Linked DNA regions of Danio rerio. The main gene of each other region encodes a partner of the protein of the gene in region 2 in a complex. Links are inferred from orthologs where the notes say so. Each region holds a gene or a part of one and is shown on either strand. Other genes may lie near its edges. The genes, in order: sost and lrp6.

Region 1 (17,004 bases), on a different chromosome or scaffold from region 2:
TTTGTTGTTATGTTTTGCGCCACGTTGTTTAAATAGCAAATCCATTTGCACCACATTGTGAACTCATAGTGTTCCAGTCTAAAAAGGAGGTGTGTTGAAGCACATTGTTGGCTCATTGCTATTTTGAGGAACTGAATTGCGCCACTGACCAGCTAAAAACTGGTCTAAAGTCCAGCGCAGAGTGCATTAGTTATGCATCTATGTGGGTTATGTGGGCAACACTTACACATTGCTTAATGCACACAGGATGTACAGCAACACACAAATATCTTTACAAATGAAAAAAATTACAGGATTAAAATTCTACAAAAATTATTATTTTCTACATAAATATAAAAACCACTGCCTCCATGGCAGGGGGCTTTTTTCAGTTTCATTCATTCATTCATTTTCTTTTTGGCTTAGTGGCTTTATTAATCAGGGGTCGCCACAGCAGAATGAACCACCAACTTATCCAGCACATGTTTTTTGCAGCAGTTGCCCTTCCGGCAGCAACCCATCACTGACAATTTGTATTTGTAAGAAGTTATTATAATTAGTAGTATTATTTATTATATGCATATTTATATTTGTTTTAATAAAAACTAGGTTAGATTTATCCACCTTTTGGAGACGTACACGTCACCACATGGGGCATAAGAATAGGACATGTGTTTGACTATAACTGAGTTGTTTGAGCACATTAGTGTTCATTTATTCATTTGCTGGGAATGAAAACTAAATTTAAAAATAGTTTTGAAAAAGCTTTGTGCTTAACAAACAAAATTAAATATGTAGGCTTTAATTAAATATGCAAGGTTTATTAGGAGAATGGTAAGGCAAGCAACAGTCAACACAGGAACAAACAGATGTATACGGGCAATCCAGAGTCGTGGTCAATAAGGTGAATGGTCAGTACAAGCTAATAGCAGACAATGTAAATAAACAACCAAGGCGAGGGTCAAAACATAGCAAAGCAAGACAAGAGAAACACGTTGTAATGTTCACAGTAACAGATAAACAAGACTCGGCACTGATGTGTCTGTGTGTGAGCTGTAAAATAGTCCTTGTAATCAGTCTTTGACAATTCAAATCACGAGAATCGGGAACAGGTGCATGTGAGCAGTGCATGACTAGACCTGTAGTCCATATAATGGCAGATTTGTAGTTCTATATCAGTCTGCGTGTTTACCAGTGATCTATACAGATTAAATTGCTAATGATTGTGACAAAGGTTAGTAACTGTATATTGACTGTATAGAATTCCCTGCATGACACTTCACTTTTTAAGCATTTTTGTTGACATTGCTACTTTTTTATGTTTTGTTTTCATCTTGAGTAATGTACATTCAAGCTTTTTATTACATCTATTGCTGATAAATAATGTTTATAGATTTACTATTATATGTGTTTCCATGATAGTGTTTAGTAGTTGTGTGAATGACACTGAGCATCTTCTATATATTAATGTTTTTCTCTGCTCCTGGGAAAAGTTGTTTGTGATGAGCTTTGGTTCATCATATGACTTCTTCAGAAGATAAAGGTGTCATAACCATGAAACACTGGTGTATAACATTATAAATTAATGGAAGTGATGTTATTGAGGCCATCAGGGGATGCTCAACCTGGGTCCTAATGCTACAGAATAGTGAAGGGGACTGCTCAGTGAGCGCTGTCTTTCAGATGAGACGTTAAACCAAGGTCCTGACTCTCTGACTTCCCAGGATGCCCTTCGAAAAAGAGTAGGGGTTTAACCCCAGCAAAATTTGCTTCCTCATGGCCTCCTAACCATCCCCATACCATAATTGGCTTCATCACTCTGTTTCCTTTTCCACCAATCAGCTGGTGAGTGGTGTGCAGCCTGGTGCAATATGGCTGCCATGGTGGATGCTGCACACTGGTGGTGGATAAAAAGATTCCCCCAACGTGTAAAGCACTCTAAATGTCCAGAAAAACACTATTTAAATGTAAGGAATTATTATTATTTTTAATGGTAAAGTTCAGACAACCACAGATGCCATTTTTTTACAGTAAATTTTATGGATTTTATTTACAGTGTGCTCAGTGGAGGAAAATAACCATTTTAAAATCCATATCTGTTAGCATTCTTTTAGCTAAAAACTGATTTTGTTTTATCTGACATCAAATAGGATTCATTTGGACTGACAAAACAAAGTGCACATTATACCTAATGAAAGAAACTTTTTGGATGTCACAACAGCTACAATGGTGCAAGCTTACACCATACTGAAACGGTCAACTTTATGTTTAAACAAACATGGTATCTATAATTGCACATTGTGCACATGACAAAGCCAAATCACTTGAAAATGTCAAGATGTGTGACGCTGTTCTGCTAAATATCACTTCCAGTAATCCTGGACCTGATTTGATTATATAAATAAATAATTTTTGAAATTTTGCAATCTGGATTGTAACAAATCACAGCACAATGACACACTACATTTCTCAAAACAGTTCTACTGAAGTTGTAAGCAATGTCCAATTGTTTCTCCCAAATCCCTTTCCTTCATAAGCTGGCTATAGTGTGTTTTTCTCACCAGTGCACAGGTCGTCAATGGATAAATAGACTCAATAAAGCGCTAAGTGACGAATGTTTACAAGTGCACTTGTGGCAGCACTGCTAATACTCTACAACTCCACATATAGTGGTTACAGGATGGTTAACAACACATGAACCCAGTGGTCAGGAAAGTTTGCCGAGATGCACAGAGAAACCACAGCAGAGGTTTTGCACGGCTCTTAAACTCAAATGAACTCTTAAAAAACATGATTTGGACTTCAGAATGATTCAGCTAGTCATGGCTTATTTAAACACCTAATGTGCTTGTATTTCTGTTAAATCATCAGACTATTCTTTCCAGTATGAAAAATGCGCTACTAATGACAAATGCAAATGACTTGGCAGACAGAGATGTGAGGTATGACTATAAGACTGTGGGTTCACATGCTACGGGGAGCTGTGCTTTATAAAATATGATCCATAAAATTTTTCTTCGGTAACACTGCGCAGATGCCTCATTTATAATAATATTTGCAGGGCTATATTTCTAAATGAGACATTAGTTCCCAGGACAGCTGAAAATAATGTAATCTGCACATCTGAAAGTAGAAATCACTGATGCTTTGGAGCAAAACTACAGTATCTCATTTTACATCCAGAGACACTTATAATATATCCATTAGCAGGCTTTGTGAAATGTTATTATGACATTCCTAATAGATTATCGCCTGAGCTGTTTGATGACTTAAATTCGGTGTAAAAAAGTTTTGGATTATCACAGGCTCAAATTTCACAGTTTGTGACATATGTAAGAAATTGTAAATAAATGTAAATTGCGCTGTAAATAAAAGCCAAACATATGTCATTTAGATACTGGAGACACAAGTTACAATCTTTACAAGGGCTACAGTATACTGTATGTACATAGATTTTAGCAAACTTTAGTGGCGCTGTTAAGTAAACTGCAGCCAGCAACTTATACTCAGGCTTGCACTAGTGCTCATGTACTGCACAACATTTTTAATTATTATTCTTTGATTAGAAGTAAAGCAGTTGTAAATACCTTTACAGGGATATTCTGGACATCCAGATGCAGTCCACTTTTTTCAACAAGGTTTTCTATTAAAAACAAAATAAACACACACAAAAATGACAAAATTAATGAGAAAACAGCAGTTAAGTAAACATCTCATAACAGGGGTGTTTCACTTTTCTGAAATTTCATAATTATATGTTAATATAATGTTTGTTTTCTGGCATTACGTTGACAGATACGGTAACAAAAATTGCCATTTAATTACATGGTTTCTACATGTTTCAACAAGTCAAATTTAAGACTTTTTTAGACCTTTTCTGACTTACACAAGGCTAAACGTCAAAGATTTTTTAATAGCCAAGTTAAAACCTTTCACACTTTATTCTGATGGTCTGTTTGTTGAATTTAAGTTACATTGCATCTACATGCCAAATAATTCTCAATTGGATTATGAGTAGACTGCTAGGTTGGGGTTAGGGTTAGTGTAAGTTGACATGTACTTGCAAAGTTTCTCATAGTCAGTTAAATGTCTGTTTTGGTAGCAGCATCTACAGATATTAAGCAGCTAGTCTACTCAAATGGACTATCAAAATAAAGTCTTACCAACATTTAAAATAAATGTTATGCAAGGAAGATAATTAAACCAAATTAATACGTAAATAGAGATAATAAATAAATGTTTCTTAAAACTCTTATTGAAACATATTTTTGGTGATTGGATGGGTGTTGGCCCAATTTGGTAAAGCTTTACATTGACATAGGGAAATTAAGACCCGTTTAAAATTATTTAAGACCTACAAGACAAAATTTCCATTTATTTAATTAATAAATAAATAATACTTTTAAGGCCTAAAATTTGGTTTTCGAAATGTAAGACATTTTAAGACTTTTTAAGACCCTGTAGATACCCTGAATTATAAAGTGCATTTGAGATAGACTATAGTTCTGGTTTTCAGAGACTAGTTTGATTCAGGAGCATATAAAAACATCACATCATTTTTATTGTCCTGCAAAAATATTCTAATTATCTTCACATAAATATTAGGAATGAACCAATAAGGAAATTTTGACCAACACTGATACTGCTAATATAAATACAATTATAAATACACATTTTTAAATTATATATATGATACTGCTGCCTCACAGCAAGTAGGTCGCAGATCCAAAAGACATGCGGTATAGTTAAGTTGAATAAACTAAATTGGCCGTGATGAATGAGTGTGTATGAGTGTTTATGGACGTTTACCAGTACTGGGTTGCCGTTGAAAAGGCATTCGTGGAGTAAAAAACTCAACTGAGAATAACAACATTAACTGAAAATCCTGTCATCATTTACTCACCTGTTGCCACAAACCCGTTTGAGTTTCATTTTCTGTAGAATAGTACACAAAATAAGTTCGTATGAAAAATCTTGGGAACTGGCAAACATTGACGTCTTTAGTATTTGTTTTTCTTATGGCTAACTGTGGGCCACATTGTGGGTGGGTAGCACGATCGCCTCACTGCAAAAAGGTTGCTGGTTCGAGGCTCGGCTGGGTCAGTTGGCATTTTCTGTGTGCATTTTGAATGTTCTCCCCGTGTTTGTGTGGGTTTCCTCCTGGTGCTCTGATTACCCCCACGTCAAAAGACATGTGCTATAGGTGAATTGGGTATAAGTTAAATTGTCTGTAGTGTATGTGTCTGAATTAGTGTGTATGGATGTTTCCCAGTGATGGGTTGCAGCTGGAAGGTCATCCGCTACGTAAAACATATGTTAGATAAGTTGGCGTTACATTCCGCTGTGGCGACAAAAGACTAATAAACGGACTAAGCCGATAAAAATGAATGAATGGTTAACTGTTTCTAACATTCTTCTAAATATCTTCCTTTTGTGTTTAACAGAAAAGGCTCATAAAGGTGTAGAACTCACTCATTTTTGGGTGAACTGTGCCTTTAAGAGCTTTAAAAAAAGAAAACAACAAGCAGCAATTGACCTTTCTCAAAATCACTTGTTAATTGCATTTCTGAAAGCTTTTTCACAGTGAAAGTCTTTCAGAAGAGGCTCAGCCAGAGGAAATACTCCAATTTATATAATAATAAATGTATATGATAATTTTCCTTATTGATAAAATATAATAATTAAAAAATATGGGATCAGCCAAATATTTTGCATCATCAATGAACATCAGTGTCTGGTAGCATAAAGTTGTTCGCAGGGCAGAGATCACTTTTTGTTTTTGCAGGGGTAACATTTCTTCTCAACTTTGACCCAGTTCTTATCTAAAAACTTTTAATGCTCGGTTGCATGTATGTTTGCATTTCATATGCATTAAGAGTCAAGCCCTGTCAGTCCACGATGAGTTAAACACTTTGTTTATGTGGGTTTGACACAGTGTTACTTTTCTTATTCTTTATAAAAATATCTTTTGCTGGCGGCCCTTGTAAATCTGGAACACATCTAAGTGTTATTTATGCTCGGGCTGCTATCTTGATAAAGCAAGCCTGGAGACTGTGTTTTCTGTGCACAAACCCAAAGAGATATAAAAACAGCCAGTGAATGACAGGGAAAAGAGCGTAGGCTACAATCTGTGGTGGACATTGTGATCTTTCTTTTTCTTCATGATGACAGGACGAAGAGTTACAATAGATCTCAGAAGAATTCCATCTTTCCTGCTTTTTTTCTCTCTGCTGGTGGTTTAAGCTTATATGATTGGTGGGCTCAATAGCATTAGAAGATCTTTTTCAGCCAGTCTCATGCTTGGTATTTGTTATTCTAGCATTTTGATGCAGAATTAAATAATGCAATAAAATAGACAGGAGGAGCACAGCATTTAGTGCAGTAGGCCAGAAGAGAGACATACACTAATAGCTGTTCAAGGTATTTGTTTGTTTGAGCTCCCTCAAGAGGGCAGTGTTTGTACAAAGCGATTAATTTAATGCTAAAACGATGACATAAAGCATCTGCACCTTGTGCGGGTCCCACTGCTTATTTATAATAGTCCTTATGGCCAGACCAAAAAAACAAAAATATAAATAAAAAAATAACATACTTTTATTCAAAATATTTTTTTACAGCCCAATAAAATATATGTTTATTTTATTAATAAAAACAGAGCAAACTGAAGAAGTTGCAATATTTATTATTAGAATGATTTTTTTTTACTATGCAATAAAATGTTGTGTATAAAAGTGTACATTTGAATAGTAGCAGCAGTAGTAATTATTATTAAGCAATATTATTATTACATTTGAAATTGATAACTTGGCTTACAAATGAGAAGAATATAGAATAATAGTAATAATAGGAATGCTATTTCGCAGTGGGTTTAAGGCTATATGAATATTTGACACTTTATTGTTAATTTCATGTCATGTAAATAAGAATTTCAAACGTTAAACATTAGATGTATGTCGTAGAATTTCAATTTCTTCCAGTTGTCATACAAATGTTGCAACCCTAGGTCAATAACCCAGGTGCGTAGCCAGGTGGGGTTGGGTTGGTTCGAAAGACTCACCCCTCATTGACAAAGGTCCTAAATTTGTCCCATACATGGGCTCATTTGTCGTGCTATGCCATCATAAATTGTGTAAATAACTAATCGAAGATTATTATTAGCCTAATAACTGACATTTCTTGACCTTAATAGGCAGTTTTTGATTTAAGACTTTAGCAGATTTTTTTTTGTAATGATATATGATGTAATAAATGAAAAATAATATATATAAATATATATATTTTTTTATTTCTTCATTCTAAACCTTCAGGAAATGTTTTTGGTACATCAAAAAGTGTGGTTATGATGACCATCCAACAAGCTAATCCAGCTAAAATGTCACTAAAATGCAATATTTAAAATTTAAATAAATACAAAATTAGTTGAATAACTGCAAAAAGGTCATTTTTTATAGATTTTTTTTTTTTTAGAAAAAAGAACCACCTTTTTCACCAGCCTGGCTAGGCTGCACTGTATAATATATTGAAAAAAAGTTTTAAATGTTTAAGATTTCGCTTTTATAATGTATTCATATAACGTATTGATATAATGTATTCTGCAAAAACCAACAATAATCTGTTTAAAAAGACAAAATTCTTTAAAAATTAAAAGTAACTTTTTCTAAAAAAAACAAAAAAAAAAAAAAAAAAAAACATAAAGCTACACAAATAGCACTGCAAATCATGTCCAAATCTCTGATTATTAATACCGTGTGATCCTAAGTATGAAACAGAGGTAACGACTCAAATAAACGACTTTTCTCTCTCCAAGTTGACCTTCCACTTCTGCGCGTGCCCCTTCCTCCCTATCAGTTTCTGAATGAGCCGCTCTGCCTAAATCCCTCCCACTTCGTGTAAGCGCTAAATTATCTGGGTTTTTTGCAAAACCTGTGGTAGTTTAAAAAGGCAAGCCTCTCCCGAAGAGAAGAAAACTGGTCGAAGTTTGCCCGCTGAACGGCTCGTTCTCAGTTGTATTATGCAGGTGTCTCTGGCGCTCGTGCACTGCGGCGCGCGGCTGTTGCTGCTGCTGCTGCTTCAGGGATGTTTCACAGCTGCGCACGGATGGAGGCCTTTAAAAAACGATGCTACAGAAATTATACCAGAATACGCGGAGGACACGCACAAACCCGAGGAGCAGATACAACTGTCTGACAATAACACAATGAATCGGGCGAAGAACGGTGGAAGGCGGTCGTCAGCAAACACACGGACTTATGGTAAGTAACGTGAAGCTGTTATTTAATCATTAGAAGCTTAACGAAGTAGATCATCGCCAGCATAAATATACTTTTTGTAATTTTGTTCAATTTTAGAAGATGATTTTTCTTCTTTAAATGTGATTTATTGGGTGGTTAATAACAAGCTATAAATGCTCAGATTATTTTAAACCATTTTTAAAATCAAACTAATAACAAATCAAATAAATCTAAAATAAAATTAATTTGGTGTTATAAATTATATTATTTATTGTGATTACTTATTTGAACTTTTATTGCTTTACAGTATTCCAGGTATTGGAATATAACATTAAAGAAAACTTTGTGCATTAGCATTTGTGAGTTAAATGAATAAGGGAAATGTGTGTTTAAGATAAGAATGAAACGTATTAAAATGTATTAAATTAATATAAAAAACAGTGTCAAATATAACACAAATATTACACAAATTCCATTTTACCGATTTGGAGAGATACTTGTTATTAAAGTGTGAAAGGCGGCAGCAAATTACATTTACAGGATAACAGCAATCAGTGTATAATAATAATAATCAAAAATTTGCTAAATTGACCAACAATGTTGCATATTTATCCTACTTTATAATGTGATGTAGGTTATATGAAGGCTACACAAAAATAATAATAAAAACGGGATATTGACTTGATTTAAAAGTTCTGAAAGGCTGCCATTCCAGCTTTTCTACAGGCCAAGTGATGCACTAACTATAATAAGCCTTTTTTTGTCTTGCTGCATCCCCAATTTTACATAATTAGACAAGGTATGCCTTTCCATAACCATCTAATTGCAACAGTATGGTTTCAGGGTAGTTGAAAATGTGAGAAGTTATTCTAAGGGGTCATTTCTTCAGGGTATTGCCATGATAGGGAATGACTTCCACCTGTGGAAAGTAAAACTACTGTGAATTCTAACACTGCACAATGTGTGTGTGTGTGTGTGTCTGTGTGAGAGTGTTTATGTATGTCGGATTTAACAAAAAAGTAAACCACAGCATGTTTCCAGAACACAAATCAAGACTTTGTATTAAAGTCTTGGAAAGTGCGTTTGAGAAATTGCAACATCTAAATTTATTGCTAAGTAAATGCACACAATACATCCAAAAATAATAATAACAAGAGTTCCTTCGTGAACAGAATAACGAAGTTATCACAAAAACAATAAACAGTAAAAATACTTAAGGCTTGCGCAATCCAAAGATAATTTACAATCTCTAATTATGTCACTGAACACTCCTATGATGTTGCGTTTCGCCATAAGGAAACAGTTATCAAGCCAAGGATGTACATTTAACTGGCTCATTAGGGGGTGGAGAGAGATCTCACACCGTCCTGTGCTGCTCTGGAAGGGGTGACGTGTGTAGTTTCTCTGGTGGTCAGTGTGGGGTCATGTTGAGATATGTTCATCTTCCTCTGGCTCTCTCCCAGCTCCTCATAAAACATCAGATCAGGTTTTCTGAGAATCAGGGGAGGCAGAACGTGAACTCATCACACACATAAATCCTTTGTTCCCCTCTATGAGGGGAGCCCGTTCCACTCTCGGTTTCATCTCTTTAAATGACAATTAATGAAAACATTGTTGATGTAGTTTAAGGCAGTTAAGCGAGTGTGCGCTAAATTCAAAGCTTACAAAAACAACAAGCTTACCAAGACACCCAGAAGTCTCTCATTGTCTTTCATGGATATTCAGTCCTTATTTGCACTTATCAGAACAATCTGGTACATGGTTTAGTGTCTGTGGGTTTATAATTGATTGGCTTCTCATCGATTCCAGCCTCAATAAAGAGTTCATCTTTAACAAATTGTCGCATAAATCCAAACCAGACTTAAAGAAAATAAATAAATAAAAAGCATATTTTGTGCTGATATAAAAAGATTTGATCATGCATTTCCTCTTTAGTTTGACATACAACATTTGTCTGGGAAACTTGTCAAAAGAACAACAAAGTCAAGTTCAGGAAATCTACTTAATGCCTTTGTATATATAACAAAACATGAAAAATTTGTTTCGTGCATGGTTAGTAGCTGTGTTTTATTAAAGATGTACCGCTTAAAACATTTCTGCTTTCTTTCCCAGGAGCCTCAGAACTCAGCTGTCGGGAGTTGCGTTCGACCCGATATGTGACCGATGGATCTTGCCGCAGTGTCAAACCCGTGAAGGAACTTGTGTGTTCTGGTCAGTGCCTTCCAGCTCACCTGATGCCAAACTCAATTCTACGGGGGAAATGGTGGAGAAGCAGCTCCTCCGATTACCGTTGCATCCCTGCTCACTCCCGCACCCAGCGGATACAGCTCCAGTGTCCAAACGGACCAAACCGGACATACAAAATACGAGTTGTCACATCTTGCAAGTGCAAACGCTACACTCGACAACACAACCAATCGGATGTCAAAGAGTCGTCCAAGAAACCACGGCGCAATAAGAAGCACCGCAGCAAAGTGCCGTCCATCAACAGCAATTCATACTGAGGGGAAAAGATGCAGAACTGATACAGAAAACACTCTCTTGCACACATACAAAAAAAAAAGAAAGTACACCAATACATATGCACACATATTACAGAAACTGCAATCCTCATCTACAAGGGAAGGAATAAACGCATTAGCATTTACCAAGCTTGTTGGCATGCTAACAAGTTTCCAATGTATTTCAGATGTCTCGCTGTTTGTATGTGCTCTTGAGCCTAAATCGTCCCAGTTTGATCACAATATGCCAGCGGACTGAGTGAAAAGACGTCCGCTGTTATGCGAGATTAGATCAGGCAATGTGATTTTTTGAGGGAGGAGGAATATTCCTGCTCAAGCGGTTCATTTCAAGTTCACCGAAGTTCATTGAAAGGCTAACTTACGGGCAAGCATACTGAGTGCTCCACCAGTCCAGCAAGTGCTCATGTGAATGTTTGTGCACCAGATTTGTCCTCTTTTGGGATTCGGAGCAGTGTATGATTTGAGCGCTCAGCCGCGTCTGGCCCAAAAGACACGCTGCTGCTGACAGACCACTGAAGCCCAGAATTCTTAACCTTGGTCACTTTTACCAGGTCCTTTTTGACAGGCTGGGGAGTCCATGTGAGTGTCTGCAAATTCACATTTCCACAAGAAACTTATCGACACTGGCAGCTAGAGCCGCCTTATGGAGAGTTCGGAAAGTTGTGTCAGCCCTCCACGGTCCAAGTCCCTGGAGGTCGAGAACAGCAAACGGTATTCCTGTGACTTGTCCTAATTACCAAATAGTTCCATTCCTGTGTTTAGGATTTGAGTCATAAAAAGCCATTTCCTCTAGACATGGTCAGTTCCTGTTTGTTCGAACACCCGAAAAAGAGGCCCACATGTGTGCACGAATCTGCAGCAATTCCTCGCGGGCAAATAACCTTTACGCACCCTCCTTCAATGGAAACCATTTGGAGATATTCAGCTATCTGCAATCGCTAGCAGGTTACCTACATCCATTACTGAAGTCTTCAGCAGAGATGTCATCCTTCCTGTTTCCACACATGACCGGAAAAGAACAAACAAATAAGTGAACCAATCTCTGAAATCGTGGGCTGGATGTTGATTCTACACAGGATACAGAGATCAGAGAAGGCCAATTGTTCAACATTTTTTCTGCCCACCTCGATGATATTTGCTCATTTTTTCAATTGTGTGTTTGAAATAGCAACTGGAAGGGATTTCTTATAATGTAAGCAGACTTGTCGTGAATAGTAACTTGTACATAGTATACCTGTGTGGTATACCTGTGTAGTATACCTGTGTGGTCTGTGTGGTGAGCAGTATCCTCCTTCAACCAATGGATCCTCTTTCAGACCAAAAGACTGTTACAAAGAATGAACTGTGTATTTATTTTTGTATTTTTATCATTTAAATTATTTATGCAATCTTTTTTTTTTTTTGTAGAAAATAATAGCCATTATTGTACTATATGTAATTATAGTGAATTTCATACCGAAAAAAAAGAGTACATGAATAAAGTTAAGCAACCTATATATGTGAAAAGAAGTGTGTTTTGTTATCATTCTTGTCAGACTGCCTTGACAGATCCTTTCTCCTTTTGGGCCGTGCCCGCACTCTAAATCCGTCCCTCAATGAGCCCTCTGTAAACAATATTCTGCAATTAGGAAGTAGAGGCTTTGTAACACTTTGGAATGTCTAAAACACCTTTACAAAAGGCGAGAAAAGGAAAGAATCCCCTCGTCAGACGTGAACAGTACAGTCACAACAGAACCAGCTCTTTATGTCCGGTATGTTGAACTCAACCCACAGGCTTCCATTCATCTGTTTGTTTGTTTAAGCTTGCACAGTCTGAGCCATAGATTGACAAGGAAATGTGGATTGCTTGACTTGTTTTAGCCCTTCTAATCTTGTTTGTTGCACACTTGAGAGCTGGCTCATGATGAAACATATCACTATATTAGTCTAACTGGATCCAGGCTGCTGTAAACCAAACAAAATGACTTGTTCATATACTTGTTCGATGAGACTAAAAGATATTCATTCATTCCTTTTCTTTTCGACTTAGTCCCTTTATTCATCAGGGGTCGCCACAGCGGAATGAACTTCCAACTTATCCAGCATATGTTTAATGCAGTGGATGCCTTTCCAGCTCCAACCCAACACTGGGAAACACCCATATACTCTGCATTCATACAGAACCGCCAATTTAGTTTATTCAATTCACCTGTATCGCATGTCTTTGGACTCTGGAGAGACCAGAGCACCAGAAGGAAACCCACACAAACACAAGGAGAACATGCAATCGCCACACAGAAATGCCAACTGACCTAGCCGATGCCAAACCATAGATCTTCTTTAGACATCTTTACAAAAATGCTTGCTGAGAGATTAAAGAGGAGTCCAATGAAACAGTACTAATTATGTGATCAAGTTGATCTCTCTACAGTCTAAAAGTACTAAAATACTTGTATATACCAACCCAGACTCATGAAAATGTACCCCTATATACATTACTCAAGAGAGCAAAATACATCCCAGGAGCTACGTTTTTTGCAGTTTTTGTTTGTTTTTGTTTTTGCGAATCTGCCAGAGGCCGCTGTGTATGCTTTTTCAGGTCTCAAGTTTCTCTTGGAGTGCCATTCATGCCTGCTGTTCTCACATAAATCCACCAAAGGCTACTGTAGACTGACTGACTGACCAATCGACTGATTCCTCCACCCTCTCCCTTCCCTAAACCCAACCAATTGTATTTTAAAAAGCACAGATTGACCCATCCACCCACTTGCCTAAACCCAATCACAGTGTTTTAAAAAGCAATCCAGAAAAAGAAAAGCCCCCTGATTTTTTTTTACCACTTTCTTACCCTGTTATTTACTTGTTTATTTTATTTTTTAGCTTTTGTTTTTGTCTTACCTGGTTTAAAGAACCGTTCCTCACCATACTCGAACCCCGTTGTTGCTGTCAACTCCATTCTGCATCTCAAGTCCGCAGACGTACTTGTCGAGCTACTGGACAAACTGGTAACAGCAGAAAAGCTGTTCATATGGAGATAAGCTAGTAAGCGTGAAAAGGAATGGCATCATACCACCCCGTAGTGTTAGTTTTAGAGATGAAAAGCAAACATACGTAGCTCGGGCTACTTAATTAGCGATCTCCAGAAACATATATAGAGGTACGTTTTCAGAATAAGCCTATGTTGGTATATACACACATATTTTGCAATATACTTGAAATATAGGCCCAATCCCAACTCTACCCCTTAGCCCTTACTAACGCGTTCACATGAAGGGGTAAGGGTGTCCAAATTCTCTAGCTTGAAGGCATAGGACTAAGGGGAAGGGCACGATACCCAGAAAGAGAGATTTTTCAGGACTACACTCAAAACCAAGGGGTAAGAAAATTTTCCAGAATACACTAGCCACAACGACAGCATCACTCGGAAGTCAGGAGATATACAAATTAGTATTTTCCGTCATTATTATGAATTTTTAGGACAAACAAGCATATGTTTTAATACATTTGCGTTTGTGTTTTATTATCATGATAACATGATATTGTTGCCTTCGGTGACGTTATTAAGATAAACCCCCAATAAATAACACAACCGGAATAACCACAGCAGTCTCGATCATTGAGCCCTTTCCTTTCACACTCTGTTTCAAGAGCCAAGGGGAAGAGGCAGGGGGGCCATAATGTTTCTATAGATTTAAAAAACGACTATAAATAAATAGCTGTATTCTTTTGCTTCTTGGGATTGTTTTCCTTTGCATCACTCAAGCCATTGAGTTCACAGTTTGTACTTTTTGTACTTTTTTGTCCAATTTTCCTAATACGTCCATGCTTCGAAACAAACTGTGTTATTTGTTGCGTTTCCACTCGTAGCTGTTTGGTTTGGTTCATGGCTTATAACACTTTGAACAAGGACATTTTGTAAAATCCCTTTGGGTAAAATCAATTGCAAAAATACTTCCGGAACCAGTGCTGATGAAAAAGTGGACAGGCACTAATGCACTCTATAAGGAACATATTTTCCCGCAATTCTAATGTAATCGTTCCAAATTTGTGGCCACTTGACATGCCATGCTTTTGTTCAAAAGTAGCTGGCAGGCAGAATCATTTCCACATAATTCAAGAACAAATGCTTAAATGTGTCACATGAGCAGCTCCTATATAAATTGATGCTGACAAAGCATCTGACCTCAGTTATGGCCCCTGTTTGCAGTGGTTACTCGGCAGGGACCTGGCACAGACCTCCACAGCCACAGGGAAAGCAGGAGTGTGTGAGAGAGGTCAGCTGGGACTCACTCCTCAGTGTGTGTTTAACACTTTTGTGCCTGCTCCACAGTCTCTCAGACACAAAACTCCTCCAGAGACCCTGTCAGCCCGAGCAGGCAATAGCTCAGATAAGCTTAAAGGTATGTTTATGACTTAAGCTGATATCTCACATAACTTAAAGACTGTATTATGGGACAACCTTTATCCAGCTACTTTTGATGTTAAAAAGTTTAACTTTTTTTGGTATTTCTGGTATTTCTAGTACTTTAAAACAATATATTGCATAATTAATGATGGATATTTATATAAAAAAGACAAAACAAGAAAGTACTGGCAACTCATTACTCAACTAATCCTAACGATAAATCTAGATTTTAACAAAAATCAACAAACAAACAACAACAAAAAAACAACAACTAAAATTGAGGTTAGTTTCAATTTGGGCTGAATGTGTGAAGCCTTGGGAAAAAGAGGAGGCTGTAGAACTCTAAGTGTCATTTAACCGTTATCCACTTGACTTTTACCACAGTAAATTAAAGGTAGTCACTGTTGAATAATTCATAGCTTAACCTAAAATGACATATTTACCTTCCAGTGTCTAAAAGCACACAGGTTGACCTCTTCAGTGGTACACAACGGACCTCTAACACATGATAGCGATTAAAGAAATCTCACTGAACCACTCTAGAATGTCACTTCCTTCTGGTCAGGCTATAAGCATCCAAAATTAAAGACACTGCCTTTGTAAATGAAAGGTTATGGAGCTGGTGCACACTTTTCTATGAAACTCAGTTAGAAGTGCTTGAGGTTGTATTGTAACTAAACAAATTCAATATATTGGAAACTATATTATCACTAAACTATTAGTCATTAAAAATTTTTCTGTTTTTCTTTTGAATGTAGGCTAAAGAAAAAAAAGTGTTTGATCAGCTGATTTTTATATGTTATAGACTGATCCTCTTGCCGAAATGCATCATCTTCCTGTGATGATTGCTCTGTTGGCTGGGAATATGCTGTATGTTTTGGCTCAGTCAAAAAAAAGGAAAGGTCATATTCTCACAAATAATTGTTTGAATCTTAAGTTTCCTTCTCGACTTGCATAATGGCCCAACTATTGTCGTCAACATCCAAGTTTTCCTAGGGTGTGTATGTTTACTGAGCGTGATGTTATACAAAAGAAGCAGGAGTTTGTCAGGGGCCCAAATTCATGAAACTCTACAAGAACTACAACATACCGTGTGTCCCAGAGGTTTAAAGAAACTGAGATTCAAAATCTAATTTAAGTCTGAAAATAAACATGAAATGTTAAAGTGAAGGGGAAGTGAACTGTTTTTCGTTTTTCAAAATGCTTAAAAGAAATGTTATGACTTTAGTGTCACGATTACATTATTAAAATAAGCTGATTTGGTGCTCACAAAACATTTCTCGTCATTATTAAAGAGCCCTATTGTGGGTTTTTGAAAATGACCTTTCATGCAGTGTGTAACACAGCACTAGGTGAATGAAAACATCCAGCTGAGGGTTAAATCTGAAAGTGTTTACTACTGAATATAACTACTGAATATTGTTGTAGTGTTTAATAGTTAACAGAAAAGAGGACTTTTAATAACCTTACGGCTACGTTACGTTAAGTCACAAGTTGTGCATTAGCCAATCCATTGCTGTTTTGTCATCACGCGGGAGTTAGTTAACTGTTGTATATGATTTTAGTTCAGTAGTATGCTCGCAGGTTCCAGTGTGGATGGTTAATAAACCCCTCTGCACTGGGCAAGAGCATTACCCGCTGCTGTGAAGGTTTTATTTAAGTAAACAGTTGGAATGGATTTCGGTTGTTGTGTGCCCTTTTTCATGCCTCCACGGACACTTATTACACCGATAGTGTCAGGTTAAAAGCACAACAATATTTAATGAAATAGTCGATGCAGAGTCGAATAAAGGAATCTTGTTGGGTTTTAATCTTTTACCTGAATGTGTCAATGTCGATACAGTACATCACCAAATATGTAGTACCGCATCTAGTAAAAAATGAATGC
Region 2 (16,306 bases):
CCTCTGATAGCTTATAAATACAGGATATGTACAGTGTGCGGTATAAAAATAGCAGAGCTCTTCTGGCACTCATGTAGAAAAGTGGAAAACGGCGGCAAGAGTGTGTGTGTGTGTGTGTGTGTGTGTGTGTGTGTGTGTGTGTGTGTGTGTGTGTGTGTGTGTGTGTGTGTGTGTGTGTAACCGCTCAGGCACGAGTCGCCGCCGTGATTGTGTGTTACGCCAGCAGGTGGGCGGGAGGTGTGTGCTGATTGGCTCCTCCTCGTCTCTCATATAAAACAGTATAAAAATAAGCGCGCCGCCGCGTCACAGTGTAGAGCCTGCAGGGGGCGCCGCCGCGCGGCTCAGGAACTATTTGGCATGGACACCACACGCGTGTGAGTCAGATTAAGGCAGCGTGTGCGTGTGTGTGTGTGTGTGTGGGTCTGATAAATCTCTCTTCATCAGTGTCCACGTGTGGGTAACCGCGGCAACACTGTATAGAAATATATAAATATGCTCTTCTCTTACTGTACAGCGCCGCCAGAGCCCTCAGCTGTCCTTCAGCGAGACACAGTCACTTATATATATGTACAGAGGCAGTGGGGGCGGGGCCTGGCGCGCAGGGGGCGGGGCTCAGGAGGAGTCTGTGCAGGGCGAGGGCGGCGGCGGGTACAGCTGGTGCGAGTAGCTGCGCTCGGTGTACGGTGACGGCGGGCAGCTCTCGCAGTTCTCCTCCGCCGACAGGTACTGGCTGCGCGGCGTGGGCGGCGGCGGCAGCGGCTCCGAGTCGTAGTTCAGGTCGCTAGCGTAGCCTTTAGCAGCAGTGGCGCTGGATGCGTGCGGAGCCCGGCGGCCCGGCGTATAGTCACTGTCGCACACATCCGTGCTGCACGGCGTCGTCGGAGGAGCGAAGTGGCGGTAACTGTACGGCCGATAGCTGCACAACACACACATTAGCATGTTAGCATACAGAGGTTTAGCATTAAACGCGTGATGGGCAGAGGACATGTTACCTGTAGGAGCGGTGTGTTGACGGGCTGTTGGAGGAGTAGCCGAACTCCATGGTGTACTGAGACCTGACGGTGGCTGGAGATGGAGGAGGGTTCAGGATCTGCAGAACAGCAGAGACATTACACATACATCATCAACTCACTGTGTGTTATAGAGAGAGCCTCACACAGCTGAGTGGAGCTGACAAACCACCTGCAGGAACACTTCTCCATAACACCGCCTTCCCTATCCCTGAACACTAGAGGCCCGCTTCACTGAGTGCTGCAGGTCCGGTCAGATCAGGTCAGGACACTCTCATGGCCATTCCCACTGTCAGACGGTGCCTAACATTGAGTTCACACTGCAGGATTTAAACCCGATTGAGCCTGATTTGGAAGTTACCTTGCTCTCCGACAGATCGGCTGTGATTGGGGAAAATCTACAGGTGCTCAGCGCTCGGCAGTGTTTATGTGTGAACTACTGAACAATGCATCTAAGAGGCTCGCTGAAGCGTCACCGACACCTCACAGATGTAAATTTAATAATCTAGCATGCTGAATATTCCAGAACAGTCGGCCGACTCCACCCCACGCATGGTCAGATGTAGTGACGAGCCGCAGCCAATGAGAGAGCAGATCAGCATGTGCTGACTGGCCATGGTGCTCAGGAGCTCAACAGAAACGTCTGTGATTGGCCAGAACGGGCATCGATGCGCTCGCTTCATTCTGCATTAACAGACACGAGAGTGGGCTATATTAACAGCAGAACTATTAGATTACCACACTGCTCATCCTGACCGTTCCCACATGAGACGTCATATTTACATTTAAAGCTTCTATTGAGGTATTAAAGTAAGCTGTCTTGAATGTCTGTCATCATATTTCATGACAGCATTACACTGAAAGTATGATCTGTTCTGGTAATGCAGACTATTAATATGAAGAGATTGAGGTGAACACAGAACACCAGTGTCCATCTGCAGCTCCTTCACCAGACTCCACACTCATACACACTCGTACACACTCGTACACACTCGTACACACTCGTACACACTCGTACACACTCGTACACACTCGTACACACTCGTACACACTCGTACACACCAGGGCTCGAAATTGCGACCATTTTGGTCACATATGCACCCGAAAATTAATCTATGCGACCTCATAATATATATGGAGCATTAGTGCGACTGCAGATAATAGTTGTAGTGCGACCTGTTTTGATTTTTTGTAAAAACGTGCTGAATCGCTCTTCTCTGCCGCTATATTGGTTCATATTAGCTGTCAATCACTCAAGGTATTCCGCTGTCAGATGACAGGGAAGGAGCTTTTATGACCACGGGAAATGCAAATGGCTGAATATTGAAAACTTAAAGCGCACAGGTTTGCAAACCCCACCTAAAGTTGAGGCGCAGATGAGAGCGATCATGACACGTCACGTGGTGAATATTGATCCGCCAGCTGAGATCAATCGAGTATGCGCTTCTTGGAGAAGGTGCCCGAATCTCGATGCGTTCCGTTCACTGCGTGTTCAGCGCAAATGTCCGCTAAAAGTCAAATCTAATACTGTACATATCATCGCCAAAGAAGCTCGCCTTTACTAAGTTTACACTGAAACTGCGGCTCATAACAAAGACCGGTATTGCGCCGAAGGTTAGCGCAAGAATCCTGCTCTGCCTGCTCATAAATTGGGTCGGCTGACTCGCCTGCTTTTCCACTAACACAGAAAAATGAAGATCAGCTCAGACTGAACCTTTAAATTGACACAAACTGAAACCAAAACTTTTAAAGAGTGATAGAAGTGAGACTTTACTTACTTTCTTTTGTCTATTCTTGTTTGAGGTGTATATTATTTTTTTATTTATTTACTGATGACTGCTTTGCAGCTTTCATCATTGAATTGAATGATTTATTATAATCTTTTGTTTGTTTTGTAGCAGAAATATTATTTATTAAATTGACATGCATATAAAAACAGCAGCACAAAATAAATATTTCTTACTGCAATGCTTCATTTTGGTTTGATGCAAACTATACAATTATTTTTCATAAAGTAACAGACTTTTTATAGCAGATAACCTACATTCATGCACATTCAAGGCAGCATCATAATGAGAAATGTTATTCATTGTTACTATTATTGTCATTTTCATCATCATTAATATTCTATGGCCTAATTATTAGACATTCATTTTGGAATTATTGCACACAAATATCAAAGTCTTCGCAGCATTAGTTAGATAGCTGTTTCTGGTTTTTGTCAGTCCTATTGATGTTGTTTTAAAATACAATAAATCCCTTAAAAAACAATTTGCAGCGGTGCTCATTCATTTTTGGTGGTGCTCCTAAATTTTTTCTGGTGCTCCTAAATATTTGAAGTTGGGAGCACCGGTGCTACCAAGTAAAAAAGTCAATTTCGAGCCCTGCACACTCATACACACTCATACACACTCATACACACTCGTACACACTCATACACACTCACGCCATCAGGCCCACTCTCCTCACAGACACACAGCTTGTGATGTCGTTGCGATATGTACTTATATTTCTGAGCATCATCAGCCACGGCGAGGGCTGTGTGAGCATGCGCAGGCTGCATCGGAGCACACACACACACACACACACACACACACACACACACACGGGCACTTGAGGCAAATCAGCCTTAATGTGGAAGGGGGACATCACGGGCACAGTAACAGCTCTGGCAGAAGTACTGAAACAGCTGTGTGTGTGTGTGTGTGTGTGTGTGTGTGTGTGTGTGTGTGTGTGTGTGTGTGTACCGGAGGGAAATATGCTCCTTTAGTGCTGGACGAGCTGCTGGACGAGGCTCCGGTCACATGAGCGCGGTCGTACGGTGGTCCACTGCTGCCTCCCATGATGCTCAGCGAGCCCATGACTGACTTCCCTCTGGACATGCCTGAACACACACACACACACACACACACACAAACACACACACACTTTAATTATTCATGTTTATTGTTCATGAACACACACAAATAACAATAAAACACTCAGAAATAATCATATTAATCTCACACACACACACACACACACACACACACACTAGTATCTCACACACACACACACACTAGTATCTCACACACACACAAGCATCTTACACACACACACACACACAAGCATCTCACACACACACTAGTATCTCACACACACACTAGTATCTCACACACACACACACACGCTTCTCGTCAGTGTGAGTGTTGTTGGAGCTCCACCTGGCAGTGATCCGCTCAGGGATGCGGGGTGTGGGACGTATCCCAGCGGCACCGGCGGCGGTCCGTGAACCACGAAGTCATTGGTCATGGTGTCGGCGTCGTCCTTCATCTGCGGGCAGAGCACGCGCTGGCACACGAAATACACCGCGCCGACCACGAACAGCACCATCACCACACCCACGATTGAGCCGATGGTGTTAGTGGGAGCAAACGACGGCTCCTCTGTCGCATCTGAACACACACACACACACACACACACACACACGTCAGAGCACCATCATCATAAACACGCATCATCACACTCATCACTGTGGTAACCCTGCTGGGTGATCTCCATCACTCTGGGTTGATGTGGAGTCCTCATGTGTCTCTCTGTGTTTCAGGATTCTGCTGACTGATCTGACTCTCACACACACATTTAGAGGAGATGATCAACACACAGTGTTCAGCCGGACTCTCCTGTGCTGATGATCTGCCCACTGACCCCCATTATAACCACACACTCACCCCAGCACATCCACTGCTGCACTCACTGACATGAGGAGGACCAGAGTCCAGTTCTCCAGCTGATCATCAGCGACAGAGTCTGGCTTACAGACGGAGACAGAAACTCGCCAGCACAGGCTGATCATCAGCAGGAGAACTCACACTGTCCCCCTTAATCCCAGCAGGGACACCAGCATGAGTCAGTACTGCAGCGTTCTCTATATGATGAGTGAATGGGTCAGAACCGGCACCAGCATCACCACAGGAGAGTCGCTCCGTCCAGCACACAAGGGTTAAACCATTCATTCATTCATTTTCTTGTCAGCTTAGTCCCTTTATTAATCTGGGGTCGCCACAGCGGAATGAACCGCCAACTTATCCAGCAAGGTTTTATGCAGCGGACGCCTTTCCAGCTGCAACCCATCTCTGGGAAACATCCACACACACACTCATACACTACGCACAATTTAGCCTACTCAGTTCCCCTATAGCGCATGTGTTTGGACTGTGGGGGAAACCGGAGCACCCGGAGGAAACCCACACCAACACGGGGAGAACATGCAAACTCCACACAGAAACACCAACTGAGCCGAGGCTCGAACCAGCGACCTTCTTGCTGTGAGGTGACAGCACTACCTACTGCGCCACTGCCTCGCCCGGTGACACCACATCTGCAGTGATCATTGCTGTTTCTGGGCAGAGCTTTGTCAGATGTATCTACACAGTGTGTTTCTACACTCAGTCCTGGAGGGCCGCTGTCCTGCAGAGTTCAGCTGCAGAGTAAGAGCTCGATTATAGCCCAGGGGTGTCTGATCAGGGCTGGAGCTACACTTCGCTGGGCAGCGCTCCTCCAGGACTGGGTTTGGACACCGCTGAGGTAGTGTCTGTGTGCTTCATCAAGCTCTTACAGCAGCCGATCTCGTCTGAGTTGTCTGTGCAGTCCATGTTGTTGTCACATTTCTTGTGTCGGCCGATGCACTGTCCGTTTGAGCAGGTGAACTGATCCGCAGGGCACAGAACTACAGACAGACAGAGGTGAAGAGTCAGACTAGGCATGAGCTGATAACCGATTCACTGTTCACAGGACAGATGTCTGATCAGGTTTGTGTTTTTAGTGATGTCAGACGCCTGAACCCTGTGCCAGCGCAGAGCTACAGACATGTTCAACAGTAATGAGAATATATACACACACACACACACACACACACACACACACACACACACAGACACACCTTCACACTTGTTCTCGTCGGAGCGGTCCTGGCAGTTGATCTCTCCGTTGCAGCGCAGCGCCGCGTCCACACACTGCCGGCTGTCACACTGGAACTCCCGGCTGGAGCAGACAGGACAGTCCCGCTCATCACTGCTGTCATCACACTCCGCAAACCCGTCACAGCGCCACGCCTGCGGGATACAGTCCACCTCACCCGACACACACGAGAACTGCTCTGGAGAACACGTGGGCGGCTCTGAGGACACACACACACACGCACACACACACACACACACACACACACACCGTCATCATCAGCAGAGATCAGACAGAGTTATCCTGCAGATGAGCAGTGAATCTGTACATGAATACACTCTTTTAGTGTGTGTGTGTGTGTGTGTGTGTGTGTGTGTGTGTGTGTGTGTGTGTGTGTGTGTGTGTGTGTGTGTGTGTGTACCTCCGCACGAGAGCTCGTCCTGCAGCAGCACCAGGTGAATGGGGCAGGAGCAGCGTGTGGTTCCGTCTCCTTTCACGATGCAGATGTGTGTGCAGCCGCCGTTATCAGACGTGCAGGGGTGTTTACCTGTGCGCACACACACACACACACGTCATTACCGTAAAGAGCACTCGCAACATACTTGAACATTTATACTTTACTGTTGAGATTCCCGTCACACACACACACACACACACACACACACACACACACACACACACACACACAGACAGACACACACACACACACAGACAGACACACTCACACACACTCAGACTCACTGTACTCCTGCATGTCCAGCTGGTGGACGGCGTGGATGTCGCTCAGTGAGGCGATGCGCGCCTGTATTTTGGTTCGTCCCTCTCTCGTCACCTTGTGGATCCTCTCGATCATCTGCTGCTGCCGGTCGATCCAGTACAGGAAGTTCCCGAACACCGTCAAGCCCACCGGCTGCAGGATGTTGGAGTCCTCGATCACAATCCGATTGGCTCCTAGGCAGAAAGGGGCGGAGATACGGGTGGTCAGAGGCGGGGCTAAGCATGTAAATCAGAATCCCGAGCAGAGCTGAGCGAGAGGAGGAGAGAGAGGAGGAGAGAGAGGAGGAGAGACTAGCGAGAGGAGGAGAGAGAGGAGGAGAGAGAGGAGGAGAGACTAGCGAGAGGAGGAGAGAGAGGAGGAGAGAGAGGAGGAGAGACTAGCGAGAGGAGGAGAGAGAGGAGGAGAGAGGAGGAGAGACTAGCGAGAGGAGGAGAGAGAGGAGGAGAGAGGAGGAGAGACTAGCGAGAGCAGCACACGAGCACATGCGGAGGATGAGACAGACAGCAGATGACGAACATCATGACTGATCAACTATGTGGAACAGCAGAAACTCCTCGAGCCCTGTGCCACCCCTGAACCCTCATCATCATCATCATCATCAGTGTGACCTTTGACCTCACCGGACAGGTCGCTGCTCTCGATGCGCCGCAGGTCCATGTCCACCCAGAAGAGTTTGCCCAGCTCATTATCCACAGCCAGAGCCACCGGCCGGCCCAGATTACTGAAGAACAGCACCTCACGCTCCGTCCCGTCCAGAGCACAGCGCTCGATCTTCGGGGAGCGCTCCTGCAGATTACTGAAGTACATGTACCTGCGGACGACACGCAACACACCGTCACACACACACACACCGCTCAACACGCACTGACCAGCGCTCCCCCCACAGCATCACCATGATGAAGACCTGTGTTCATCAGACAAACACACACAGTCCAGAACCGCACCGTCAACACATCAGCACACAGCTGCGGGCAGAGCTACTCACCCCCTGTTCATTTCCCCAATCTCTGACTAGCGGAGAGCAGATTACCCCTGATCATGACAGTGTGAACAGCTGATGTGTTCCTCTTCTCCATGATGATGCACAGAATATTAGACTAGATATTCTTCAAGACACTAGTGTTCAGCTCACAGTGACATGTAAAGGCTTCACTAGGGTAATCAGGGTATTTATTGTGAAAGCAGTTACAGGAAATTACCAGAGTTTTCCAGGAGGAATAAAAACGGGATGTTTGGTCTGAAAGGAGTGTTGGCAGGTGAGCTGACCAGTTTAATATTGATCTGATCTGCTGTATAGAGATCAGACTGTTATAATCTAAGTGTAAGGGCTAATTATGCAGTTCTGTCGCCATCTAGTGGATGAAAACATCAGTTGTGTTTGCTCTACAGCAGGGGTGACCAGCGCTGCTCCTGGAGAAACACCTTCCTGCAGATTTCAGCTGCTCCCCATATCAAACACACCTGAACCAATTAATCAAGACCTGAACACCAGGTGATCATTACAGGCAGGTGTGTTTGATCTGCAGGATGGCGGCTCTCCAGCAACAGGGTTGGTCACCGCTGCTCTACACTATGGCTGGTTAATGGCCAGCGCTCTCAGAAACTGTAAATGTTTGAAATAGGCATTATCTTATAAATAAACCGCACAGTTGCAATCTAAACAACTGCATTGTGTGTGTGTGTGTGTGTGTGTGTGTGTGTGTGTGTGTAGAGCGGCTCACACTGAGCGCACAGACTGATTATCCCCATCATGGCATGTTGTCATCATGAGTGTTCATCGGTACACTGAATGCTAAAGCGTCGCTCACCCGCGCTCAGGGTTGACAGCGATGGCGCGGGGTTTGTCGTGTTCTCCGCGCAGCACCACGCCGACCCGCGAGCCGTCTGTGCGCGTCACGTTGATCACGTTGGTGAGCTCGCTGGTCCAGTAGATGAAGCGGCTGTAGATGTCGATGCTCAGGTCGTACGGCTGCAGGCCGAGGTTTGAGCCGCCAACAGCGCCGGACACCACCGTCACACTCTGCAGAAACACACACACACACACACACACTCAGGTCATGTGCACACACACGGTGGCGCTGCTCCATATCAGAAAGTCTAACCTAATATCAAATGCCCAACCCGAGGACTCATATGATGACAATAGCCATGGTCAGACCCAGAGCAGCAGTGTGTGTGTGTGTGTGTGTGTGTGTGTGTGTGTGTGTGTGTGTGTGTGTGTGTGTGTGTGTGTGTGTGTGTGTGTGTGTGTGTGTGTTCACCTGGTTCCCGTCCTCCTGTGCTCGGCGGATCACATTCTGCTTGGCGTCGATCCAGTACAGGTGCCGGTCCAGCGGGTCGTAGTCGATGGCGCGCACGTTCCGCAGGCTGTGGATGGGCAGGATGATGTCGGGGCTCTGCAGCTCGTCCATCACCATGCGGTTAATAGCCGTCTTCTGGCTGAACAGCAGGAACGACGTCGGCGCTGAAACACACACACACACACAGGGATAAATGATGGTGTACACACACAACCCTGTCGTTTAGTGTCGGCCCAAACAAACCAGTGATGAGTTCAGCTGCGCTCCCCATCAGGACAGTGTTGATCAGTCATGTAGGAGAACCAGAACACACACACAACCCAACCACAGCGAGCCAGAGCCCCGCCCCTCTGCTGCACCAGCAACACTGAGGCCAATGAGTGTGTGACGTCAGTGTTGATGCAGTAGTGGGCGGGGCACACACACACACACACACACACACACACTCACCGCTGCAGGTCTTGTTGTCGGTGTTGAGGGAGTAGTGGGCGGGGCAGCCGCAGGTGAAGCTGCACACAGGTACGGCGAGGCACAGGTGTGAGCAGTGGCCGTTGGTGGCGGCGCAGGCGTTCCAGCCGCTCTGCCGGGACGAGTGGAACACCAGGATGTCCATCACGTAGTCCAGGTGGCCCTGAATGACGGTGCGGTTCTGCCCGCTGGTCTTGTTGGCGCGCTCGATGCTGCGCTGGCTCCAGTCCGTCCAGTAGATGTAGTCCTGATACTGCGTCAGGCCGAACGGGTGCGGGAGATCATCCGCGATCACCTCGCGCTCCAGACCTGCACACACACATACACACACACGCAGACACACGCGCACACACACACACACTCATTATCCAGCGTTGTGTTTATTATAAAGCTGAGATGCTAATATCACACTGAACACAGGGACAGCACACATTCAATGAGTGAGTGTGTGTGTGTGTGTGTGTGTGTGTGTGTGTGTGTGTGTGTGTGTGTGTGCGTGTGTGTTACCCAGCATGTTGGAGGACTCTATGAGTGTGGTGTCGAGGTCAGTCCAGTAGAGCCGTCGCTCAGCGTAATCGATGGTCAGTCCGTTCGCTCGGCCCACGTTCGGCACCAGAGTGATGCGGCCCGACCCGTCCATCGCTGCACGGTCTATCTTGGGCCGCCCGCCCCACTCTGTCCAGTACATGAACCTACGCCACACACACACACACACACACTGATATTAGACCTTTTATTATATATAGTAATAGTAGCACACACACACACACACACACACACACACACATATACACACACACACACACACACACACACACACACACACACACACACACACAGAGTCAGTCGTACCCTTCAGCGGGGTCGAGGGCGAGTGCGCGGGGGCTGTCCAGATCCTTCCACACCAGCACCTGCCGGTGCTGCCCGTCCAGCTTGGCCACCTCGATGCGGTTGGTGCCCGTGTCAGCCCAGTACAGGTTCTTGCCCAGCCAGTCCACCGCCATGCCTTCTGGGTAATCCAGCCCGAACTCCACCACATGCTCCAGAGAGCTGCCGTTCATGAAGGCCCGACTGATCGTCTGAAACACACAACTGCACAATCAACAACACACACACACACACACACACACACACACACAACTAAACCAACACACTGCACAATCAACAACACCACACACACACACACACACACACACACACACACACACAACTAAACCAACACACTGCACAATCAACAACACACACACACACACACACACACACACACAACTAAACCAACACACTGCACAATCAACAACACACACACACACACACACACACACAACTAAACCAACACACTGCACAATCAACAACACACACACACACACACACACGAGCACACACACAAGCACACACACACACACACACACACAACTAAACCAACACACTGCACACACACACGCTGCACTACACAATAAACAACAGAATTCTGTGTGTGTGTGCAGTGTGTTGGTTTAGTTGTGTGTGTGTGTGTGTGTGTGTGCGCTGACCTTCAGTGTGATGTCGGTCCAGTATATGCGGTTGTCGTGTGTGTGTGTGTGTGTGTGTGTGTGCGCTGACCTTCAGTGTGATGTCGGTCCAGTATATGTGGTTGTCGTGTGTGTGTGTGTGTGTGTGTGTGTGTGTGTGTGTGTGTGTGTGTGTGTGTGTGCGCGTGCGCGCGCTGACCTTCAGTGTGATGTCGGTCCAGTATATGTGGTTGTCGTGTGTGTGTGCGTGTGTGTGTGTGTGTGTGTGTGTGTGTGTGTGTGTGTGTGTGTGTGTGTGCGCGTGCGCTGACCTTCAGTGTGATGTCGGTCCAGTATATGCGGTTGTCGGTGATGTCGAAGTCGAGGGCGGACGCCTCCTTGACGCCGGTCAGTGGGATGGCCACGTTGTTGTTGTTGGTCTCCAGGGAGATGCGTCTGATGTCGGTGTGGCGGGAAAACAGCAGGAAGGCCTCGGGGACGATGCAGGTGCTGAGATCCGCCATCAGCTCCAGGCCGATAGGACACGCACACGACACACCCTGAGGCCGGTACAGGCACAGGTGACTGCAGCCGCCATTAGCCCACGCACACGGGTTCACCCCTGCGCACACACACACACACACACACACACACACACAATCAAGTATTTTAAAAATGGTTTATAAAAGGTCTCTGGTTTGAGTCTCGGCTGGGTCAGTTGGTGTTTCTGTGTGGAGTTTGCATGTTCTCCCCGTGTTGGTGTGGGTTTCCTCCGGGTGCTCCGGTTTCCCCCACAGTCCAAACACATGCGCTATAGGGGAATGGCAAACGCCTGGAAGGGCATCCGCTGTGTATAAAATATGCTGGAATAGTTGGCGGTTCATTCCGCTGTGGCGACTGCTGATTCATAAAGGGATATTAGCTGTTATTAGCGGTGTTCTCTGAATGGAGAGGGTTTGTTTGACACATCCAATCATGCTAAATCTGTTGTGTTATCTGACAGAACAGGAGCGCTCTAAAAGTAGCCGGTTCTCCTTTGCTGTGTAATATCCCTCCGCCTGGTGCAGCTGCGACATGTTTTATTATGTATTTAGTATAGTTCCTGTTAATATTTGCCTAGAGAACACATCTTATACATATGAATGAATAACTCTTTAAATGAAATGCTAATGGTCTAATCTGATTCTACTCATTATGCTAAGCTAAGCTAAAACAAGAGACCGGCTGAAGTCATTGAACTCTGGGAGACTCGTGAAATGAGGCTTTTCCAAATACAGGTGGAGTGATGCAGTAATGCGCTGTAGCGGATTAGCATTAGCATTAGCTTACCGAAGGTCTGGTGGACGAACGTGGCCTTGATGCCCATGAGGTCGGGCAGCTGGTCGATGATGACCTCCCGCTCGGTGCTGCGCTTGTGCACGCGCTCGATGCTGCGCCGCTGCCAGTCCGTCCAGTAGATGTAGTCTCCCAGCAGCGTGAAGCCGAACACATGCGGCAGGTTATCCTCCAGCAGAACCCGCCGGCCCGAACCGTCCATCTCCATCACCTGCAGGACAACACACACCTGCTCATCAGCGCCGTGTCAGGACACTTGAAGGAGAGCCATTCTGAGCCTTTATACGAGCTGCAAGACACGTCTCTGCTGTGTGTGTGTGTGTGTGTGTGTGTGTGTGTGTGTGAGATCTGACCTCGATGACGTCGGTCTTGGCGTCCCCCCAGTAGATCTTCCTCTCGCTGTAGTCGAGCGCCAGGCCGTTGGGCCAGCCCAGAGAAGTGTTGACCATCACCATCCGCTGCGACCCGTCCAGAGCCGCCCGCTCGATCTTCGGCACCTCGCCCCAGTCTGTCCAGTACATGTATCTGCGACACACACACACACACACACACACACACACCATCAGCTGCTGAAGACACTGCACTCCTCCTGTCCTCCTGCAGTGTGGTGTTCCTCTGGGCTCTCTCAGCTCACACCAGCTCTGATATTCGCACTGATCTTACAGTTCGGCTGGAATAACAGCAGCGTTTAGTGTAAAACACATGCTGATCCGCTTGTGTACAGAGTACTGCGCTGTGCTGTCGTGACTCGGCTGATTGTCCTGGCTCTGAGCAGAACACTGGTGTCTCATAATACTGAACACACTTTAATAATGCAATGCTGATGCTAGAACAGGAGTGTGCTGCTGAACTCTGCCCCTAGAGGACGGGCCCTGTACTGCAGGCTTTCTGAAATAAGCGCGTCTCACCCGGCGACGGGGTCCAGCACGATGGCTCTGGGCTCGTCCAGATCCTCTGAGATCAGGATCTTCCTCATGGTGCCGTTCAGTCGGGTCACCTCGATGCGGTCCGTGCCGGTGTCGGTCCAGTAGAGGTTTCGTGCGATCCAGTCCACGGCGATGCCGTCCGGGTGGTTCACCTGCGAGGTCACCACCAGCTGAGCGTCGCTGCCGTCCAGGAGGGACCTGCGGATGGCGCGCACCTCGTCGTCCGTCCAGTAGATGTGTCCCTCCACCGGGTCGTAGTCGATGGCGATGGCGTGCCGGATGTCCTCGGCCTGCAGCACGATATCAGTGAAGTCCGGCGTGTCCAGAGAGATCCGGCGCAGGTCTGTGCGGCGCGCTAGCAGGAGGAGCTGAGACGGGCCTGCAGGAGGAACCAGAATACAGGACTGATCAACACCACCTCACGGACCCTCACTGTGCTGTATGCAGCGGTACTGAACATTTAAAAACATCCCGTCCACACACACACACACACACACACACACACACACACACACACACACACACACACGAGCAGCGTTTAGTGCGGTCAACACCGCTGATTGGCTGTTGTGTTGTGGAAATGACAGTGATTGGCTGTGAAGGGGATCAGTTCACCATTCTTCAGTGCACAACACACACACACACACACACACACACACACACTAGGGCTGCACTGACCCTGATAGCAGGATCAGATATGGGTTTGATGCTGCATATTGTTGCTGGATCGGGTACTGGCCTGCTGGTTCTGATCCAAATCTGATCTTGTGTGAGGGAGTTAGTGAGGGATTATACAGTAAAGCTGGCCTCAGACGGTTTAGTGGAGTCTGCTCAAACCTGCAGGATGATGACTTTACTCAGTCCACACTTCAGTGCCATGACCAACACTCAAACACTGCAGCCTGTAGAGTCCAGCAGCGCCATGCAGCTCAGAGAGTGTCGTCTGCCATGTTCAGCGGCCTGTAGATGTGCTGCTTTACTAGAGAGGATATAGAAACTGTATAATGCTCAAACCAGCACAGTGTGGAGATCAATACTCTCTCACACACACACACACACACACACACACACACACACACACACACACACACACACAGGGAATGAATGAATGGAGGCCGCGGAACACACAGATCTCCCATCAGGCCGTGCTGCGGTGTTCATTCAGAGGGGGAGGGACGCACACAAAGACCCTTACAAATGAGTCTCTTTCAGCCCGAGCCATTCAACTAGTGCAGAGCGTTCCCAGCAGCCGCAATCACTCACCGCACACACACACACACACGCGCACGCACAGACATACACACACACGCGCTCACATTGGAGGATCACACGCTACCATGGCAACCACCGGATGGTAACCCTCCACGGCAACCAGAGAGAGAATAATGCAAGATGACGGATGATCGAAAACACACACACACACACACACACACACACACACACACGCACACACACTCTCTCAATCAGTAGGATAGATCTGAACTGATGCAGTCGTCCATCATGAGTCCAGCAGTGTGTAGACTGCAGTGTGTCCCGTGTCTGATCAGTTGTTGTGGTGTTCATAGAGTTACCCATAATCCTTTGCTGTGTACTGCTGTCTCACACACACACACACACACACACACACACACACCGCACGACACAAACATCAGTACAGGAAGCATTGTGCAGGTGTGTTTAGGGTATAAAACAGTCATCAGCCCCTGACAGAAGAGCAGCGTGTGTGTGTGCGTGCATGCGTGCGTGCGTGCGTGTGTGTGTGCGTGTGTGTGTATCTCACCGTCTCTGCAGCTCTTGTGGTCCTCCAGCAGCTGTACGCCGGTTGGACAGGCGCACTGATAGTAGGGTTTGGCCGGAGACAGCAAACACAGATGAGAACATCCTCCATTCCTCACAGAGCAGGGGCTCGCCACGTCTGACACACACACACACACACACACACACACACACACACACACACACACACACACACATGAGAAGACACGTTGATGAAGCGGTCTGTGTGGCGGCTGTATAGTTTAGGGTTAGGGTCAGCAGACGAGGTGTTTACTCTCTGTGTTCGCCGCTGTGATGCTCTTCAAAATCAAAAACAGAGAAGTAGGACGTTTCCGGAACCACACCACATCATTAACATCATTCAGTATTAGAAACTAATTATTGTGATTATTTGAATGATTAAGGACTTGTAAACCCATTCACCAGCGTTAATGAAAGTGTGCCGCATCTGCTGCTGCTGTCCATATCTCAGACCGCTCTACCTGTTAAAGTGGAGTATCACTGATGGCAGAACACGGACAGCTCGACAGATATCATGACAAGAAGAAAAGCAACAGACGGCACTCTTACTAAACATACAGATGATTACTGCTGATGTAGCCCGCTGCACTGCTCACACATGACTGACCATCATCACCACTAAAGCCGAGAGCAGAGCCGGAGCGTCCATAGAGGCGACTGAGGCAGCCACCTAGCGCCGCAGTATAGAGAGGGCAGCGACCGCGACACCTCCCTTACCACCCGCGTCCTCAGTTATATCCGCGCATAGGGCGGCAGAATAGATGTCTGCGACACCTCACTTCATTTTCATAACCGGTCACTTGCGTTTTCACATTGGGGTTGAGGGCGGCGTGATCGTCCTCTGCCTAGAGCAGCAGTTCAGCTCGCTCTGGCCCTGGCCGAGAGGCCGGCATCAGTACACTGAGGATCAAATATTCCCTCCAGATACCAGTAATGAGTATTTTAGTATTAAATAGTTTACATTAGACTGTAATATGTGCGTCAGTGTTAAAGCTGTGACTGCTGGAACACAGATTGTGTACTGGCTCTCTTCTTCTGCCTCTCTTGGCTTGAACGCATCCCTCAGGTTTTACCCAAACATCCTAAAGGGCTGGTCCACAATGTCATTTTAAGGCTTGGTTGTGTTTATAAGATGCAAAGCAATGTGTGCTCATGGTTCACTTGAAGGAAATGCTGTTATTTTTTCATACATCTCACTTTGATTATACACAGTGACTGTGATTGGTCATCGTTATAATGTGCTGCGATTGGCGAATCGGCTCCACGT

Evidence for each region.
Region 1: the proteins of lrp6 (region 2) and sost are in contact, whole or in part, in a crystal structure (PDB 6L6R), measured with the Homo sapiens proteins. The link is inferred for Danio rerio from reciprocal best matches to the Homo sapiens genes LRP6 and SOST. Residues at the interface, in NP_001401174.1 of Homo sapiens: Arg28, Asp52, Val70, Ser71, Glu73, Leu95, Ser96, Asp98, Glu115, Arg141, Trp157, Trp183, Asn185, Ala201, His226, Phe228, Trp242, Met269, Arg336, His361, Asp379, His404, Asp406, Thr422, Glu447, Arg449, Trp465, Trp491, Asn493, His534; in NP_079513.1 of Homo sapiens: Leu115, Pro116, Asn117, Ala118, Ile119, Gly120, Arg121, Arg169, Thr171, Arg172, His174, Asn175, Gln176, Ser177.

Annotation. Positions count from the first base shown.
Region 1 is NC_133187.1:29,154,771-29,171,774, forward strand, and holds sost (sclerostin), read left to right. Parts: upstream 1-7,904; 5' UTR 7,905-7,990; coding exon 7,991-8,231; intron 8,232-10,322; coding exon 10,323-10,714; 3' UTR 10,715-12,226; downstream 12,227-17,004. UniProt on the Homo sapiens protein: Negative regulator of bone growth that acts through inhibition of Wnt signaling and bone formation.
Region 2 is NC_133179.1:160,886-177,191, reverse strand, and holds the end of lrp6 (low-density lipoprotein receptor-related protein 6 precursor), read right to left. Parts: intron 15,158-16,306; coding exon 15,021-15,157; intron 13,623-15,020; coding exon 13,225-13,622; intron 12,842-13,224; coding exon 12,670-12,841; intron 12,528-12,669; coding exon 12,311-12,527; intron 11,604-12,310; coding exon 11,314-11,603; intron 10,574-11,313; coding exon 10,347-10,573; intron 10,187-10,346; coding exon 10,002-10,186; intron 9,804-10,001; coding exon 9,477-9,803; intron 9,191-9,476; coding exon 8,988-9,190; intron 8,747-8,987; coding exon 8,535-8,746; intron 7,538-8,534; coding exon 7,347-7,537; intron 6,900-7,346; coding exon 6,690-6,899; intron 6,496-6,689; coding exon 6,370-6,495; intron 6,169-6,369; coding exon 5,932-6,168; intron 5,719-5,931; coding exon 5,608-5,718; intron 4,445-5,607; coding exon 4,214-4,444; intron 3,895-4,213; coding exon 3,758-3,894; intron 1,091-3,757; coding exon 993-1,090; intron 917-992; coding exon 613-916; downstream 1-612. UniProt on the Homo sapiens protein: Component of the Wnt-Fzd-LRP5-LRP6 complex that triggers beta-catenin signaling through inducing aggregation of receptor-ligand complexes into ribosome-sized signalosomes.